Kluyveromyces lactis: one gene and its partners. The protein of the gene in region 1 purifies or fractionates together with the protein of each later gene. This does not show direct contact. Links are inferred from orthologs where the notes say so. Each region holds a gene or a part of one and is shown on either strand. Other genes may lie near its edges.

What was found.
Region 2: the proteins of TAF8 (region 1) and TAF3 purify together in Saccharomyces cerevisiae (affinity purification with mass spectrometry; 3 studies listed by BioGRID, with this or other methods). This does not show direct contact. The link is inferred for Kluyveromyces lactis from reciprocal best matches to the Saccharomyces cerevisiae genes TAF8 and TAF3.
Region 3: the proteins of TAF8 (region 1) and TAF13 purify together in Saccharomyces cerevisiae (affinity purification with mass spectrometry; 5 studies listed by BioGRID, with this or other methods). This does not show direct contact. The link is inferred for Kluyveromyces lactis from reciprocal best matches to the Saccharomyces cerevisiae genes TAF8 and TAF13.
Region 4: the proteins of TAF8 (region 1) and TAF6 purify together in Saccharomyces cerevisiae (affinity purification with mass spectrometry; 5 studies listed by BioGRID). This does not show direct contact. The link is inferred for Kluyveromyces lactis from reciprocal best matches to the Saccharomyces cerevisiae genes TAF8 and TAF6.
Region 5: the proteins of TAF8 (region 1) and TAF1 purify together in Saccharomyces cerevisiae (affinity purification with western blotting; 10 studies listed by BioGRID, with this or other methods). This does not show direct contact. The link is inferred for Kluyveromyces lactis from reciprocal best matches to the Saccharomyces cerevisiae genes TAF8 and TAF1.

Annotation. Positions count from the first base shown.
Region 1 is NC_006040.1:143,433-147,049, forward strand, and holds TAF8 (Taf8p), read right to left. Parts: upstream 2,197-3,617; coding exon 508-2,196; downstream 1-507. Other genes in the region: FCP1 (protein serine/threonine phosphatase), read right to left, coding at 1-186; SCS7 (fatty acid alpha-hydroxylase), read right to left, coding at 2,912-3,617. UniProt on the Saccharomyces cerevisiae protein: Functions as a component of the DNA-binding general transcription factor complex TFIID. Binding of TFIID to a promoter (with or without TATA element) is the initial step in pre-initiation complex (PIC) formation.
Region 2 is NC_006042.1:2,524,108-2,526,973, reverse strand, and holds TAF3 (Taf3p), read left to right. Parts: upstream 1-1,299; coding exon 1,300-2,349; downstream 2,350-2,866. Other genes in the region: RET3 (coatomer subunit zeta), read right to left, coding at 72-641; mRNA-binding protein RRP12, read right to left, coding at 2,542-2,866. UniProt on the Saccharomyces cerevisiae protein: Functions as a component of the DNA-binding general transcription factor complex TFIID. Binding of TFIID to a promoter (with or without TATA element) is the initial step in pre-initiation complex (PIC) formation.
Region 3 is NC_006040.1:863,717-865,861, reverse strand, and holds TAF13 (Taf13p), read right to left. Parts: upstream 1,000-2,145; coding exon 520-999; downstream 1-519. Other genes in the region: ERO1 (ER oxidoreductin), read left to right, coding at 1-182; ARG81 (Arg81p), read left to right, coding at 1,566-2,145. UniProt on the Saccharomyces cerevisiae protein: Functions as a component of the DNA-binding general transcription factor complex TFIID. Binding of TFIID to a promoter (with or without TATA element) is the initial step in pre-initiation complex (PIC) formation.
Region 4 is NC_006042.1:979,214-982,479, forward strand, and holds TAF6 (TATA-binding protein-associated factor TAF6), read left to right. Parts: upstream 1-1,209; coding exon 1,210-2,760; downstream 2,761-3,266. Other genes in the region: ARC40 (Arc40p), read left to right, coding at 1-391; DAD3 (Dad3p), read right to left, coding at 582-839; SLD3 (Sld3p), read right to left, coding at 2,801-3,266.
Region 5 is NC_006037.1:879,435-883,427, reverse strand, and holds the start of TAF1 (histone acetyltransferase), read left to right. Parts: upstream 1-1,174; coding exon 1,175-3,993. Other genes in the region: RTT102 (Rtt102p), read right to left, coding at 157-618. UniProt on the Saccharomyces cerevisiae protein: Functions as a component of the DNA-binding general transcription factor complex TFIID. Binding of TFIID to a promoter (with or without TATA element) is the initial step in pre-initiation complex (PIC) formation.

The DNA of each region.
Region 1 (3,617 bases):
CCGATCCACCCGCTGCTTCTTAGTCTTCTCCTCATACTTCACCAGAACGTCCTGGAAATCCCAATACTCGTAAGCAAATAATCGTTGGCCTTTTTCAACGTGATCACCCGGTTTTACGTACAACTGCGCAACAGTGATGGGATATGGTAGGTCACTGGTCACCTTCACATTAGTTTCGAGTGACATCTTACCGCGCTTGGAATCCCGCTTGACAGCCCGTTCCCTTTCTTGCAACTCCGAAATTCATTGTTATGTCTTCACGTTGGCTTTTATTTAACAGAAATGTTTGTTATTTAAATTCAAATTCGATCGATAATGGATAAACAGATATGAAGAGAGAAGTAAACAGAACATACACAGCATGAAGTATTCTTGCATCGCGTGTATGAGTGGTGTTACATTGATTAGCATTAGGAGAATACAAACGTTACTGACTATACGAATTATGATGTACATAGTTTTGATTCATTAGCTAATATGACTACTTATAATGAAAGTCAAAATATATCAGAATAAATCATTCACGTTAGAATCGTGATCTTGTGATTGATTTTCTAGCAACTCGTCTGTGGCAACTCCCGGTGATGTATGAAGGGCTAATTCTGATTTAGCTTCTTCTGATCCTGCTTCTGGTGCATCTTCCGATATATCTTTCGGCGTCAGACCTGATGCGGATCCCGATGCGACTTCTGAAAGTAAAGGAGTCGAATTAGCGGGGGTAATTGACGGAAGTACATCTTCAAAAGTCTCTGTGCTTTCCATCGGTTTTTCTTCATCTGGTCCGTGCAACAGCTCAGAAGCCAACTCCCCCAGAGTTGAAATGTTAGTATCTGTTATTGCTTGTACCTCTGGCGGTCCCTGCGTCAGAAATTTTTCGTCGTCGTTTTCGTCATCATCTTCGCTGTCTTTGTCCCAGCCATGCAATAGGGGATCAGTTTGTAGGTTATTAAGATCAAGAATCTCTTGTTCGGCCATTTTCTTCTCCTTTTCTATTCTCCTTTGTTCTTGTAAAAGTCTCTCTCTTTCTTCTGCCTCTTTTCTCGCTCTTTCTCGTACTTCTTTGACTCTCGGTATGGAATCTATCAGCCCCAAGTAACTACGCCTTAGCATTGTTTTCAATTGATTTTCAACTGACTTCCTCGATTTGGTACTCCCTTGACCGTAGGGTGAACAGATCATGGCACCTCGTATGAATGGGTTACGTCTCTTATTCGATACTTGGTTTTCTGCCCTTTCAGCCCTTCGTTTTACTATTGCATCTCTCTTCTTACAGTATTCTAACACATTGAAATTCTTCACTGGCGAAAGATTGAATGACTCGATGCCATGAAGGACCGTTGTTGTACCCCATTCTTTATCTGTAGGTATGGTTTTATGAGGGTCAAAGATTAAATCGGTTTCTAACTGACTTTCTTTAATATGTTCAGAAAGGGCAGCATTGTTGGCAGACTGGTCGCTATCTTTATTTAGCGCTACCAGTGGGTCCTGATTGACAACTTGACTAAGCATATTCAACAATGCCTTTTCCGAAAGCCTTCCTTCTTCTAGTAACTTCTTCTTCATCAGCCTCTCATCTGTAATGGGTCTCTTGTACAACGAGGTAAATTTGTACGTATGATCAGGCGGTAGTTCTGGCAACCAACTGGGCACATATTTGTTAGATTTGTTGCTCGAAGGTAACAAATTTAATATATCAACATCTTGCACGAAGAACTCTGAATGTTTAGAACTCAAAAGCTCTTTTTCTTCCAATTCTTTCATGAACTGCTGTTTAACCTTTAGCACAGTTTCGTTCAAGGCATTAGCCTCGTCCTTGAATTTCCCATGTACAAAATTCGATATTTCCACTTGCCCATTCAAATCTTTCAGATCCATACCAATACCTTTAAAGTAGAGGTTCAAATCAAGCTTGGAGATCTTTGTCCTTCGCTGTACTTGAGTTATCTTCTTCAGACTTTGCAATAAATCATCTAACTGTAATAATGAAACATAACAAAGATCGTCAAACGCCAATTGAGATATAACCACATTCTTATTAAGTGTCTTCAATTGCAATAGTACGGCCTGTGCAAACAAGCGTTCCATCGGATTGGCATGAGGTACCTCATTTAGATTAGGTAACTTATCTAGTCGCACACGTCTCTGGTCAGTCTCTATCTTGGCATCGTTTTTATCTTTATCCTCAGAAGTCGTCATATTCAGTCTCAAAGAGCCAACTAGTACTTTAATATTGTATGAGTGCTTTACTATTCGGTCAGTTTCATACCCATAGGATGAAACTGATTGATTGCTTTAACCCTTAAGAGCTAAGCGTTTGGAGACGTCTCTCGCAATAACTTCAATGCTTCAACTCATTCATTCAGAGTTTTCGAATGGCATAACGTTCGGGTAATACCGTTATTATTTTCACGTGATTTGCGTGAACTGATGTTAATAACATCAAGAGTAGATAAAGTTACACGAGGTGGACGAAAACAACCCGGCGAACATGTTTAAAATAGTTGTGCTGAAGCAGTTGTATCAATTTATGTATTGGATGTATATGGAGTTAAAACAGAAGATAAAAAAAGATATTAATACTAATAACGATATCATAAGAATAGAACCTGTTCTTGGCAAAGACAATCAAAAGAGATGGATCACTGGTTTTGGAATTGAAATGGAAGATCTGGTGGAAATATATCCTCAGGTGGACATATATCGCTGACGTTTGTGGTATCCATCAAACTCTCTCGGGTTTTGTTACAGAGAGAAGGAAGGAGAGAGAAAGAAACAAGAGCGTTAATGCTGAAAAATGTGTAGACTGGGAGAGGAAGAGTTCCTATCGTCGTTAAAATGAGTTTAAAAATAATAATAGTGTGAATAACAATGATAGAAGGGTTGTGTGGGCACGTATAGTGAATTATTTAATTCAATCATACTTCATGTTGGATAATGGAGCGTTTTCACCAAGATAAGTACCGAACACTTTATCCCAGAACCAAGAGGTGACACCAAAACCTAACTCGTAATTCTTGTAATGATGCTCCAAATGGTATTTCTTCAATTTACGCATGTAAGGTGGTAATTGTGAATGGTGCAAGAAGTAATGTGTCAAATCGTAGCACACATAACCTAGCATACCACCAGCGAATCCAGCACAAGCCCAGTAGTATGGTAGTAGTGCAAACACTAGTTTGTAGAATGGTGTACAAAGCACAACGAACAAAGTAGGAGGCATAACCAATCTGAATCTGTCCATTGGTAAATAATGATGAACACCATGCAACAAGAAATGCAAGGTAAACGCCCATTGCTTCTCTGGAAGACGGTCATCCAGATGGAACAAAAATCTGTGCAATCCGTACTCGATTAAAGTCCACACGAATACACCGACGGCAAATAAGAAGATAGCAAAGGCCTGGTTCATGTTCATCAATGCAGTATAAATATGATATGTGACGACTGGTAACCAGACGACCGGAACCATCCACCAAGGCGTCTTGGAAAGGGGCTCTAAAAAGTTTCCAAATAGTGGAGCTGACCCCTTACCGTAGTGCCTAGGTCTGTGTACTTGATCTAGGTAAAAATCTTTTGTAAATTTACCGAAAAGCACTTGCCATAATAGTGGTTTGTTT
Region 2 (2,866 bases), on another chromosome or scaffold:
CACAGTATTTACATATCGATGGTAAACATATGTGTCTGATTATAAAAGAAATCTGGAAAATGAGGAGAAGCTTACAAGCCCTGCTGTAATCTTTCAGCCAATTTACTCTTGGCAAAGCCCCACGCGCTTAGCAAACCCTTTTCATTCAATTCTATATTCAATGGGATATCCTTTGAAGGCGGTTTCGTCACTCTAGAGGCAATTGTGGCTGGATCAGTTTCTAAGATAATACCATCATCAATCAATTCATCAATTGCTAGAACCACCATGTCATAATGTTCCTGAACACTCCTCTTGTCAATACCTGTATCCAATATCAATTCTAGGGAATCTTTGAACCCGTTGAATGCTTCTTGCAAAACAATTTCGTTTTCGTCGATTGCACCGATCAGATATATCGAAACATCGACATATTCTCTGTAAATAACTAATAGATCGTCTGATATCATAATGTCTGAATTCTGCCCATGAGTTTTAGCAAATAGGTTAGATTCGAACTCTTTTTGCTTCTTTAAGCTGGATGCAAGAGAATCTGCAGAAATTTCTTCGTGTGGTGGATGGAAGTATTTCGAGTAAAGTCTTCTTCCTTCTCCATCCAAAATCAACACAGCTTTAACTGTGTATAGAGATAAGTTAACCATGTTGTTTATGTTTTTCTTCTTGGTTACTTCCAGGGTATGCTATTCGTGTTATTCAGTACTGATGCAATGGTTTACTGTCTCAGGAGGGAAGTGCTGGTTTGGCGGTACGCGAAAATTCCAAATTTGCAGTTGACAAGATATAGGACAAATAGGAACTGCGCTCGAGAGAGGCAGAATTCAGCTCTCAACCATTGCCCATTCCTGTAATTAGAATCAGTAGCCTTCTTTGGATGTCTTGTAAAGCTGTCCATGTAAAAAGCTCCATGGCAATGAAAGCCTGTTGATATCATTGAATACGGATTTATGCTCCAGTAACGCCAAACAGCAAGTGTTTGATCGAATCTCTTATCACGTGATTTGTTTCCGGGTAATGGAAAACACAGAAGGAACTTGTAACTTTTACTGTCTGATAAGTAGGTTAGCCATGCAAATACTATACATTAACGAAAACTGTCTATTGTGGGGTTCGTTCGATGCAGAATGCAACCAGTACTGAGCTTCGAGGACACTGATTGATTTACTAAGCAGTATTTACTTTGATTTATTTATCATAAGTTAAATACCGGCCAATTGCAAAGACTTTGCAGTATTTTGTATATTCTACGCTCTAAGCATTGAGCAAGCAAAGTGTTATTGCTTTACTCAGCTCCTCACAATTATGACCACTGATGAAAGTTTTTACTTTTCGCTGCTGCGAATTTCAATGATACACCTTTTAAGGGCACATGGCTTCGATAGAGCCAAAATGGGGACAGTTAATCTTTTTACTGATTTATATGTGAGATATCTAGAACTGATGATTCAAGAAATACGGAAACTTACTCTGGATCGCCGTGATTTAGATGAAGAAGTGTCCCTTCAAGATATTACCCAAGGAATGCTCAATATCGGCGTATTTAAACCAATGAACCTACTGGATGTTTACGATGAAAACCCGTCCGTGGCAGGCGATGAAGGTATGCAACAGTTTAAAAGATGGTTACTTCAAGATCCCGCAACAACAGAAGCACGAGTTATCAGTACCCCAAGTCCAGACCTGTTGAAAGTTGGTGATAAAACTAGTAAACCATTGTCAATGATTCCGGAGTATATCAACCAGCTGAATACATCGGACAAAAAGCCTAACGATGGAGATGATGAGACAGAATTGGTGGAAGCAATGATAAACAACGGGGATATGGATGACTGGATACAATTCATGTTGACATCACAAAAATTAGAACTTGCGAAGAGGAAGTCGGGGAAACTTCCTCAAGATCTCATTTCGTTACCGTCAATTCCTGGATTAAAATACTCTAAACTAAGCCGAAGTCGACCTATCATTACCAATTCATGCATTCCAGTTGGAATCGAAATTAACGAAGATGAAGAAGGAAAAGAGGAAAGTACTGAAGACGCAGCAGAGCAAATAGTTCTGAAAAGACTCATCTCAAAGTTACCTATCGGTAACCCAAATAACAAGTTAGAAAACATAGTTGTTTCATATGAAGATGAGAATATTGACGATTTACTTGAACCCCTCCATACGGAGGAAGATCAGCAAGACTACACCGATATTGATAAAACGGATTATGATTTTGAGACCTCTGGAACGGGAGGCTTAACTTTAGGCAATGTAGTTACCACAGAGTTAGACGAAATGGAGGACATGCAAAATACATTTGAAAGAAGGGCATCTTTGGATTTTGGACACGCATACGATATATAAATATAATTTGTTTAACACAAAATTAGTTCATGTTTACGACAAAACAATCGCACTCTCACTCGATTGTTTTCAAATCAATCACATGTAACAATCTTTTGGTTCCGATTTTGTCTATTCTACTATACATCTATATACAACTATCAAATTGATAAATGGGCTAGGGCGTTGCAGTGCATATCAGGTAAAAGTGATTTATAATCTCCTCTTGTTTTTAAATCTACCATTGGATTTTTTACCAATTCTTCCCTTTTCAGCTGGTTTTGTTTTTGGTAGCTTGGTTTCCTGTTCATCATCACTGAAATCATCCTCATTGCCAGCTCTGGATCCTTTTTTGAATTTTAGTCTGTTCTTTTGACCCTTTACTGGACCTTGTTTGACAGCATCTAAGTATGCATTAACACCACTGGTAATAGCCTCTAACGGATCTTCATTGTTATTTTCTCCTCTTCTCCTATCGTTTTTCATAACCAACTTACCTTCTGCATCAAAGCTGAACACTTCATCATCGACAATCCTT
Region 3 (2,145 bases), about 720 kb from region 1:
AATGGAAGAATTTCAAGCAAGCGTTGCGGTTTATCGTAACAAGTTATACGGACCTACCTTCCACTGTTAGTAAGTACACTGTACTAAAGCTCAATAAACTCTGGAACAAGTTTATTGGTGTTCCAAACTATCTCGAAGAAGGAGAGGAGCTTGAATATCCATCCTACAACTACGAAGAATAGATTAAAAACCTCTCAAATTGTCATTTTATATGACAATTTGTTTATAGATATTAAGAACTACAGGAGAACCAGCTGAAAATTCCAATTATGAAGATAAAGGTGATTATGTTCAAATAATACCCTCTCATAAGCTATTCATTTGGTTAATATATAGCTAATAGAAAAAATAAACGTATATGTTGCCGCTAAGTATGCATAAATATGGCATTTTGTTCAGAAAGGCGTAATACTATAATGATAGAATTTATATGAGGATTGCTTTGTTTTTTCACTTCTTTTGCCCAGCAAGAGAAGGATTTCAAGTACAGATATGCTAGGGGTAATGCGAATGTAACTCTCAGCTTGTTTCCCGTTTCTTCTTCTTAGGAGGTTCATTTCCCTTTTTCCTTGGTCTGCCTACCGGACGTGAGGTAGGAACGGGTTCAGGAACCGTTGTCGTCTCCTCATCTTCATCAGCCGAAATGTGGTCATCATCACCGTCATCTTTCACTCGTTTCAAAGATTTCCCCTCTGAATTATCAAATTGTTTCCTGGCATCGGTAATAACTTTATTCATCTTAATCAACTCTTCAGCTCTACCTAATTTCACCTCGTCCTTTCGAAGTACAAATCTGAAATCTTCCACTTTAATCTTATTCCTCTTCACGGTTTGAGCCGAGTAGTACGCATTGGCACATATATCGCTCAAATAAGACACCACCAATTCGTCTACACATTGAATGGTCTCTGGTAAAGGTTGCGCGACATCACCAAACGCATACATCAAAGAGCCAACATCTTTACTGAAAAGACTTGTTTTACGAATTCTTCTGGACATTCCTGTGTTGATCTAGAACTCCAACCGACTAGTCAGCTCTACTCCATGGAATGGACGAATGCGCTATAAGCTAAACTGTATAGCTTGATCATTGTTTCGTGATTTTGATTCTGGTTCTGAGTTTTATGTCAAACTGTCAACTTAAACACAGCGAAGAATAGTGCGAGTTTGCTTTTTTTTTTTTCGCAGCAAAAAATCGCTTGCGTTTTTTTGTCCCCAAATATCATGCGCAGTCCATCCAACAGTTAAGCTATATAGGGAGCTTTTTAGCGAGAAAGAAATTGACAAATCGCCTAACCCTTCCGCTTGTGTGAAAATTTTGAGAAAAGACGAACAGAGGAAAGGACATGACAGATCCACATCGCATCTTCTGAGGATCAGATAAACAGAGCAATGATAATAAACCGATTAGTACCGCTCAAGATAAGGTTTTAGTAGATATTATTGTTCCAACAGTGGCATCATTTAGACGCTCATCTGCGTGTGGTTGATATTGAAGGTTTGGTAAATATTGGAGGCTATTTTTCCTTCACAGCGACTGTGAGTCAAAGAGGATACAAGCAGGAATGAAGCCTGCGAAGCCCAGAGTGAAGACGTTCACGGGATGCTGGACATGTAGATCAAGGAAAGTAAAGTGTGATCTTCGGCGGCCCGGATGTGAGCGATGTGAGAAAGGTGGGTTAATATGTGGAGGATACGATGTAAAACTTCGGTGGACCCGGCCAATTCAGTTTGACACTATGGGTAATGTGACCGCAACACCTACAGGAATCAAAGATCCAGATGAGCCTCAGTATCAGAGAAGAAACGTTGATTTCGTTCGGTACAAAGAGGAATATGTGTATTATGAGGATATGGACGATGAATTATCAGCGTTAAGCTCTCCTCCTTTAGAGCTCATCTCTGAAGACAAGACTTGGATTATAAAGAAATTTGGTGTGTTCAAAGGCACAGATAAGGTCAAAAAAAGGTACGTGCCACGGAAGAAACGTAAGAAGAATCAAGTTTTCATTAATGCCATCGAAAAAGCTCAGAAGAAACTAGCTAATAAGAAAAATAAGGTTAAAACTGCTGATTCAGATTCGAAAGAGGGCACAAATTTATGCACTCCAGAAGATATGGAATCATCATCTGCTAATGATGATC
Region 4 (3,266 bases), on another chromosome or scaffold:
GAGTGTAGACAACCCAGAAGGTCTTCCATTCATCACCTTATGTTGGATCAATGATCATGAAATTTTAGCAGCTGGTTTCTCAAATCATCCTGTTTTGTACAGCGAAGGTTCAAGGGGTTGGGAAGTGTCCAAGATTTTGGATAGCCCAGTTAAGAGTGCTGGCAAATTGGTAGCATCAACTGGGGATGATGAAGAAGAAGGTGCCTTCGGTATGTCCGCATTGAGAAAGTTCAAGGAATTGGATTTGAAGGGTAAAGTTAGCCAGCAAGAAGAGAAATCTACCCATGTGAACTCAATTACAGAATTGGCTGCTTACAAGGAATCTAACAACAACGTCACTCAAGTTTCTTCTGTTGGTTTGGATGGTAAACTTGTTATATACAAGTTGTAGATATGGACGGTAAACGATTCATCTCTTCATCAAATAGTTGATCAGATCACCCCTATAACTCTTACGTTCAGAGTGAGAATACAATAAAAAAGAGTGGCCTTAGAAATGAAATATGTATATCTATGTTCATATATATTAAAATGTAATGTTACAACTCTGATTATGATTACAATAATCAGTCCGATTCCGCTCATAGATCTGAAGGTTTTTGTTGGTGATCCATCCGTCGCTGTATCACGAGTGAATATACGCTACCTTTGAGAAGCGTACTTACAAGAGATATTTTCACTTCAATTTCTCGCATCTCTTGTAAAATTGCTTCCGGTTTTGAGTCCTCATGGGTGTTGTTTAGATCTGAAAGTGTTTCGCTCAATTCCCTTAAGGACTCCGCTAGGAAGCGATATTTATCGAGCACACTTCGCTGCAATGGTGTCAGTTCCGAAGACATATTCAAAACACAAATAGTATGTTTCTTTGTAATTTGTACGTAAGCCCAAACCAGTAATGGTTACCTTTGTTGCCTTACCTTACATATTCAATTGGAACTCTATCCGGTAAACTTATGATAACGTTATTTCATTTTTGGTATTTTCCAATATTGACGAAAAACATAAACGATCGAATCCTGAAAGAATAACAACTCCATCCTTCAAAGTAAGGAATACAAAGCCAACGATTTGAATACAACACCAGCGCTCCTCTATTGCACGAACATCCACTCGAAAACTCTAGTTTCAGGTGTATACACTGAAACAGCGATAAATTTTATTCGAGTAAACGGTATTCTTTTCTTTATTCATTTGTGTTCAATTTCAATAATGTCACAGCAGTCCTCTCAGCAACAATCTTATACAATTTGGTCCCCGCATGATACGGTGAAGGATGTGGCAGATTCACTCGGAATCTCAAATACAAATGATGACGTGTTGAGGTCATTGGCGATGGATGTCGAGTACCGTATTTTGGAAATCGTGGAACAAGCGGTGAAATTTAAGAGACACAGTAAGCGATCTACTTTGACTACAAGCGATGTTGCGAAAGCTTTACGTGTCCTTAACGTCGAGCCATTGTATGGATTCGAGGAAGGATCAGCGAAAAATGAGCCCGTTAAGTTCAATAAGTTGGAGGGCGCTAATGGGCAGACGCTTTATTACCTAGATGATGAGGAGATCGATTTTGAAAAATTGATCAATACTCCATTACCAGAAGTTCCAAGATTACCAACGTTCACGGCGCATTGGCTAGCGGTAGAAGGAATTCAACCTGCCATTCCACAAAATCCAAATATCAATGAACTAAGGCTGAGTCAAGTTCCGTTGCAAAGAGGAGCAATAGTCTCACCATTAAACGAAACTTCTGTTCAAACCTCTTTACAAACAAATGTCAATGAAGAAAGACAGGCCACCGCAAATGGACCTATCTCGACACAAGTGAAACCAGGTGCAGCAAGTGAAGCTAAGCCATTGGTCAAACACGTTTTGTCTAAAGAATTACAGATATATTTCGAAAAAGTTGCTAGTGCACTTACATCGAAGGAAGAAGATATCAATTCACAACGGATGAGAGCAGCAGCTTTAACTTCGTTGAAGTCTGACACAGGACTACATCAGCTTGTTCCATATTTCATACAGTTTATCGCAGAGCAGATTACTCACCATTTAGAGGATTTGGAGTTGTTAACTACAATGTTGGAAATGATATATTCGTTATTGAGTAATCAATCAGTATTTTTGGATCCTTACATTCATTCTCTAATGCCTTCTATCTTAACACTACTATTAGCGAAGAGACTTGGTGGTAATGGCTCGAAAAACTCATCTGACGACAAGATTGTTGACCAGCAAAATAAAAAAGAGTTTTTAGAGAAGACTAATGCTGTCCGTGATTTTGCTAGCTCTTTACTCGATCACGTCTTGAAAAAGTTCCCAAAGGTTCACAAATCGTTGAAACCTCGTGTTACTAGAACTTTACTTAAGACATTCTTGGATATCAATAGATCATTCGGTACTTACTATGGTTGTGTACGTGGTGTTTCTGTCCTCGGTAACGAAACAATAAGATTCTTTTTAGGCAATTTACAAAACTGGTCGAAACTAGTTTTCGAGGAATATGACAGAAGCCAATCGGAAGACAGCAAGAGCGGAAAGAACCTAACTGACTTGGAGATAAAATTATTGTCAACAGTGATAGTGTCCACTTTAGAGAACTTGAAATCTGATCTTCCATCTTCATACAACCCTTCTGGTGATTTTAGTGAGGAGGACAAAACTCGTTTGAGAGAAAGATGCGGAATTACTGTCGGCAACGTAATACTGGAAAGAGACGATGCAAAGACTCTATACGATGCTATATTTTTTGGTGAGCTTTAGACATCAAATATGTAAATATTGTAACGAATATACGTATTAACTACGGCGCAAATAATCTCCTACGGACGTGCCTGGTTTTAACCTTTACTGGCGATGCCCTAACTGGTGTTTCTGAAACAACTGAAGGGGAAGCCACCAACACTGGGGTGTCCTTCTTTTCCTCTATAGGTTTGATCGGAGTTGCTGTAACATGTATATCCTGCTGTTTATCATCAAATCCGGTTTCTGAGATATAGCTAGCAAGTTTACGTTTACCAACTCGTTGGAAAGAGTTATTATGAGATTGAGAGATATTGATAGCTTTTCCGTTTACCAAAACAGTTCTAACAGTGCTGAACTCCTCCAATATTTGTTGTCTTTGCTTGACAATATCGTCTAAAGAAAGATCTTGCACAGACATTTGTCTTTTTTGAAGGCGATTCAGTTTCAAATCCGACGACGACCTTGACGCCATTTTGGGTTTCTTCTTTGTTGTTTCCTCCTCCAAAAACTCTACAAGGTTTGAG
Region 5 (3,993 bases), on another chromosome or scaffold:
TGTGGAGAACAAAAGCGGTGATGGTTTTTCCTGCTTGCCCTCCTTTGGATGAAGGACTGTCTTTATCTTATTCGAGAGTGGGCGTCCAGGCCACATTCTGGATTCCATGAATCGTAGTAAAATTACAGTATATAGGTGTAATCGTTATATAATGAATCATTCCATCTTTACGTCGCCTTCTTGGTCTTTTACCTCTGCCGGTGTATCTTCAGCCGGAGTTTCTTCCGCTGGAGTTTCAACCACAGGAGTTTCAACAGCAGCTTCACTCTCGGCTTCTTTCTTAGCATCCGATCCTGAGAACCCAGGAATGTCAGAACCACCAACAGCTCCTCTTATATCGTTAATTGAGAGTGAATCTGGGCCACTTTTCTCCTGGACACGAGCATTTTTCTTAGCTATCTTCGTCCTATCAAATTCATCTAAGTTAAGAACATCTGTATCATCCTCAACTACATCTCTCAAAGGATGATCTTTTTTTACCCATTGCTTGAACTTATATTTTACCTTCTCATCAGTACCATTTTCATTTTGTTTAGCAGTAGTGGACCATTCGTATTCCCAATGCTTTGCATCGGTCGTGAAACCTCCAAGACGATTTGCCCTACTTATCAAAGACATTCTCACTTTCTGTTAAGTATATGGCTCAGTGTGTAAATTTGCTGAAATAATTGGCCGAGTTAGTCGATCTAACACCTAAAAGATTGTCGCATTGTACCTTTAGATCTCTGCTCGCACTGTTAAGCTTTAAGCTCTTGATGTTTGGCTTTAATTTCATGTTGGCAGAATTATCAACAAAAATTGACCTTAAATGGGATAAAATGGTCGATTAATAGGTCAGCGAACCACTTATTGAAACGAAAAGCCAGTAAATGAGATGAGTGCATGCTACACATTGCATATAACCTTGTTAATTCGAGTGAAGTGGCCAATCTGGGCCATGATAGTGGTTTATGTTACATGGATTGCACTGAAATTACGTTACCCGGTCTCTGGATTGATCCCTCAATATCAAAATCTAAACAAAGTTGAAGAGCTGATATGTACATTTCAGTAAAGAGTGCTCGAAGTCATAAAAAGGGTGGTTAAATAGGTTCATTCAACTCTGTGAGCCAATATTTCTGTCAATAACAGAATTCTAATCTGATTCCAGTCATAATACACCCATTTTTGCGAAATGCCTAGGGTTGCTGGAAGCTCAGGAAGCAAGAAACAAGGCAAGGCAAAGAAGGATTTCAGCAATGAAGATGATGCGTATAACGCTCTATTTGGTGGTGAGTTTGGGGCATTAGATATTAGTAATTATACTAGTGGTGGCGGCAATGGTAAGCAAGATGAAACAGAGCATCTGCCGAATGCTATTGATTTTGAAGATGAAGATGAATTGGCAGATGAAGAATTACCGGAGGAAGAAGAGCCATCCCATTCTCCGAACAGGCATAATGAAGGGTCGTTTCAGCGGAGTCTGACTGAAGACGACGAATATATGACTCTGATGGACCATGGTGATGTGATGCATGAAGTTGACGCTGCTGGATTTGAAGTACAAGGTAATAATGCATTGTTCATGGAGAGCACATATCAGTCATTTGGTCCAGAACAACACCAATTTAACGAATATGATGAGCAACACAGGAGGTTAATGGAGGAACAGCGAAGGAAACAAGAGGAACAAAATGCGAAGGAAGAACAGTTATTATTTCAGTCTTATTTCCCTGAGCTAAAGCCGGGTAGAGTCCTAAGAATGACCAAGATAGCTCCAAAACCGTTGGCGAAGTATCAATGGCAAAGGGAGTTATACCTTCGAAACAGAATTTTAAAACCTCTCATACCCATTAAAGTGAAGTTTCAAGTTCAAAAGGATACAAAAAAATTGTTCAAGATGAGGAGTAAAAGCGTAAAGCCTTGGCAAAGTGCTATAAGCGAGTTCTCTGAAGTTCAACGAAGAAATGTTATCAAAGTAGCATACGATGAGATATATAAAGAAGATACTGTAGATGACAAGAAAGATGAGCACGATGAAGTGATACCGGAAGATCTTCTCATTGTAGCTGATGAATGGGATTATGAGAAAATTGTTGACGATAGAGAAAATGAGGAGCCAATGACGAGTAACAAGAGGAATCCGCCAGCAGTTGAGAACACTTTAGAAGAAGATGGGAAAGACTGGGAATGGAACGAAGATGATATCATAAATGGTAAGGTGAGTGCTAAAGAACCGCCAATTGATATGAATGATGAGCGATTACTTATTTTGCCTAATGAGAATAAAATCGAATCGGCACAAAAGGTCGTTAAACCTCTAATACCATATAATGAGAAATCTCTACTAGCAAAGTTCAACATCTCTAACGATGACACTTACAAGATTTTGAAAAAGAACTATCAAAAAAAGATCAGATCTACAATTTCGAATTTGAATATAGAACATTCTCAACCGGCGACGCGCCTACAATCTCCATTCTACAAAGTTGTGTTACCAAAAGATCAGTTGAGACACTTTCATAGAAATCATTTCGGGAAACGGATTCGTCCTGGTACCAACATAGTGTTCAGTAAGATAAAGACCCGTAAGAGAAAGAAGGATAAAGGTAAGGATGTGCACGAAATTTTCCAACATTCTGCGGACTTGACTGTTGGTGACAGTGCTCAAGTGTTCCTGATGGAATACAGTGAACAGCAACCTGTTGCGTTATCTAAATTTGGTATGGCTAACAAGCTTATCAATTATTATAGAAAGACGGGAGAAACAGACAGCTCCAGACCAAAATTACCCGTTGGTGAGACTCATGTATTAGGTGTGCAGGATAAATCACCATTTTGGAATTTTGGTTTCGTCAGTCCAGGAAACATTGTTCCCACTTTATATAACAATATGGTCAGAGCCCCCGTTTTCAAACATGAGGTCTCTAAGACCGATTTCCTTCTGGTGAAAAGTCTTGGTAATGGGTCCGGTAACAGATTCTATTTGCGTCAAATTAATCATCTCTTTGCTGTCGGTCAAACGTTCCCAGTGGTCGAAGTTCCTGGTCCGAATTCTAGAAAGGTTACTGCTATGGGTAAGAACCGTTTGAGGATGGTTGTGTATCGTATTTTGAACAAATCTCCGGAAAACAGACTGTTAGTGAAACAGGTGGCTCGTCATTTCCCAGAACAAAATGATATGCAAAACAGACAAAGATTAAAGGAATTCATGAAGTATCAACGTGAAGGTGATGATCAAGGTTTCTGGAAACTAAAGGAGGGAGAAGTTTTACTGGATAACGAAAACGTGAAGAAAATGGTTACTCCTGAAGATGTTTCACTCGTTGAATCCATGTATTATGGTCAACAGTTCCAGGAAGATATTGATTTCTACAACTTCGATGAAAGAGCTAAGGAGTTGGAGGAGAACTTAATATTTTGGAATGCTACCAAGAATTTCTTGAATGCTACACAGATGAGAGCAATGATTCAAATACATGGACCTGGTGATCCTACTGGTTGTGGTGAAGGTTTTTCGTTTTTGAAAACCTCTATGAAGGGTGGGTTTGTAAAATCCGGTTCAAAGGATCAACCGCAAATTGCTGGTGGTCATAGTTACAATGTCGCGCAACAACAGAAAGCATATGAAGAAGAAATAAGTAGGACGTGGTATAACCAAGCCAAGTCTTTAAGCATTCAAAATCCCTTTGAAGAAATGGATGATCCAGATATCGTTAATGAAAGTAATAAGCATGTTCCCTCGACAAGACCTGACGAGAAAGTGTTACGGATTACTAGAAAGAAGAGAGATTCCAACGGTATCATTCAACGACAAACTGTTATAGTCAGAGACCCTAGGGTCATTCAAGGTTACTTACGTGCGTATGAAAAGAGGCGTGAAGAGGCGGAGCGTAATTTGGGTCTTGATGAATTGATCAACGATAACATAACCATTGTTGGCGGTGAGAACGAAGAGGAAAGGCAATTGAAGCAAAAGAAACTATTGGAAGAACAATTGGCTAAATTGGAAAA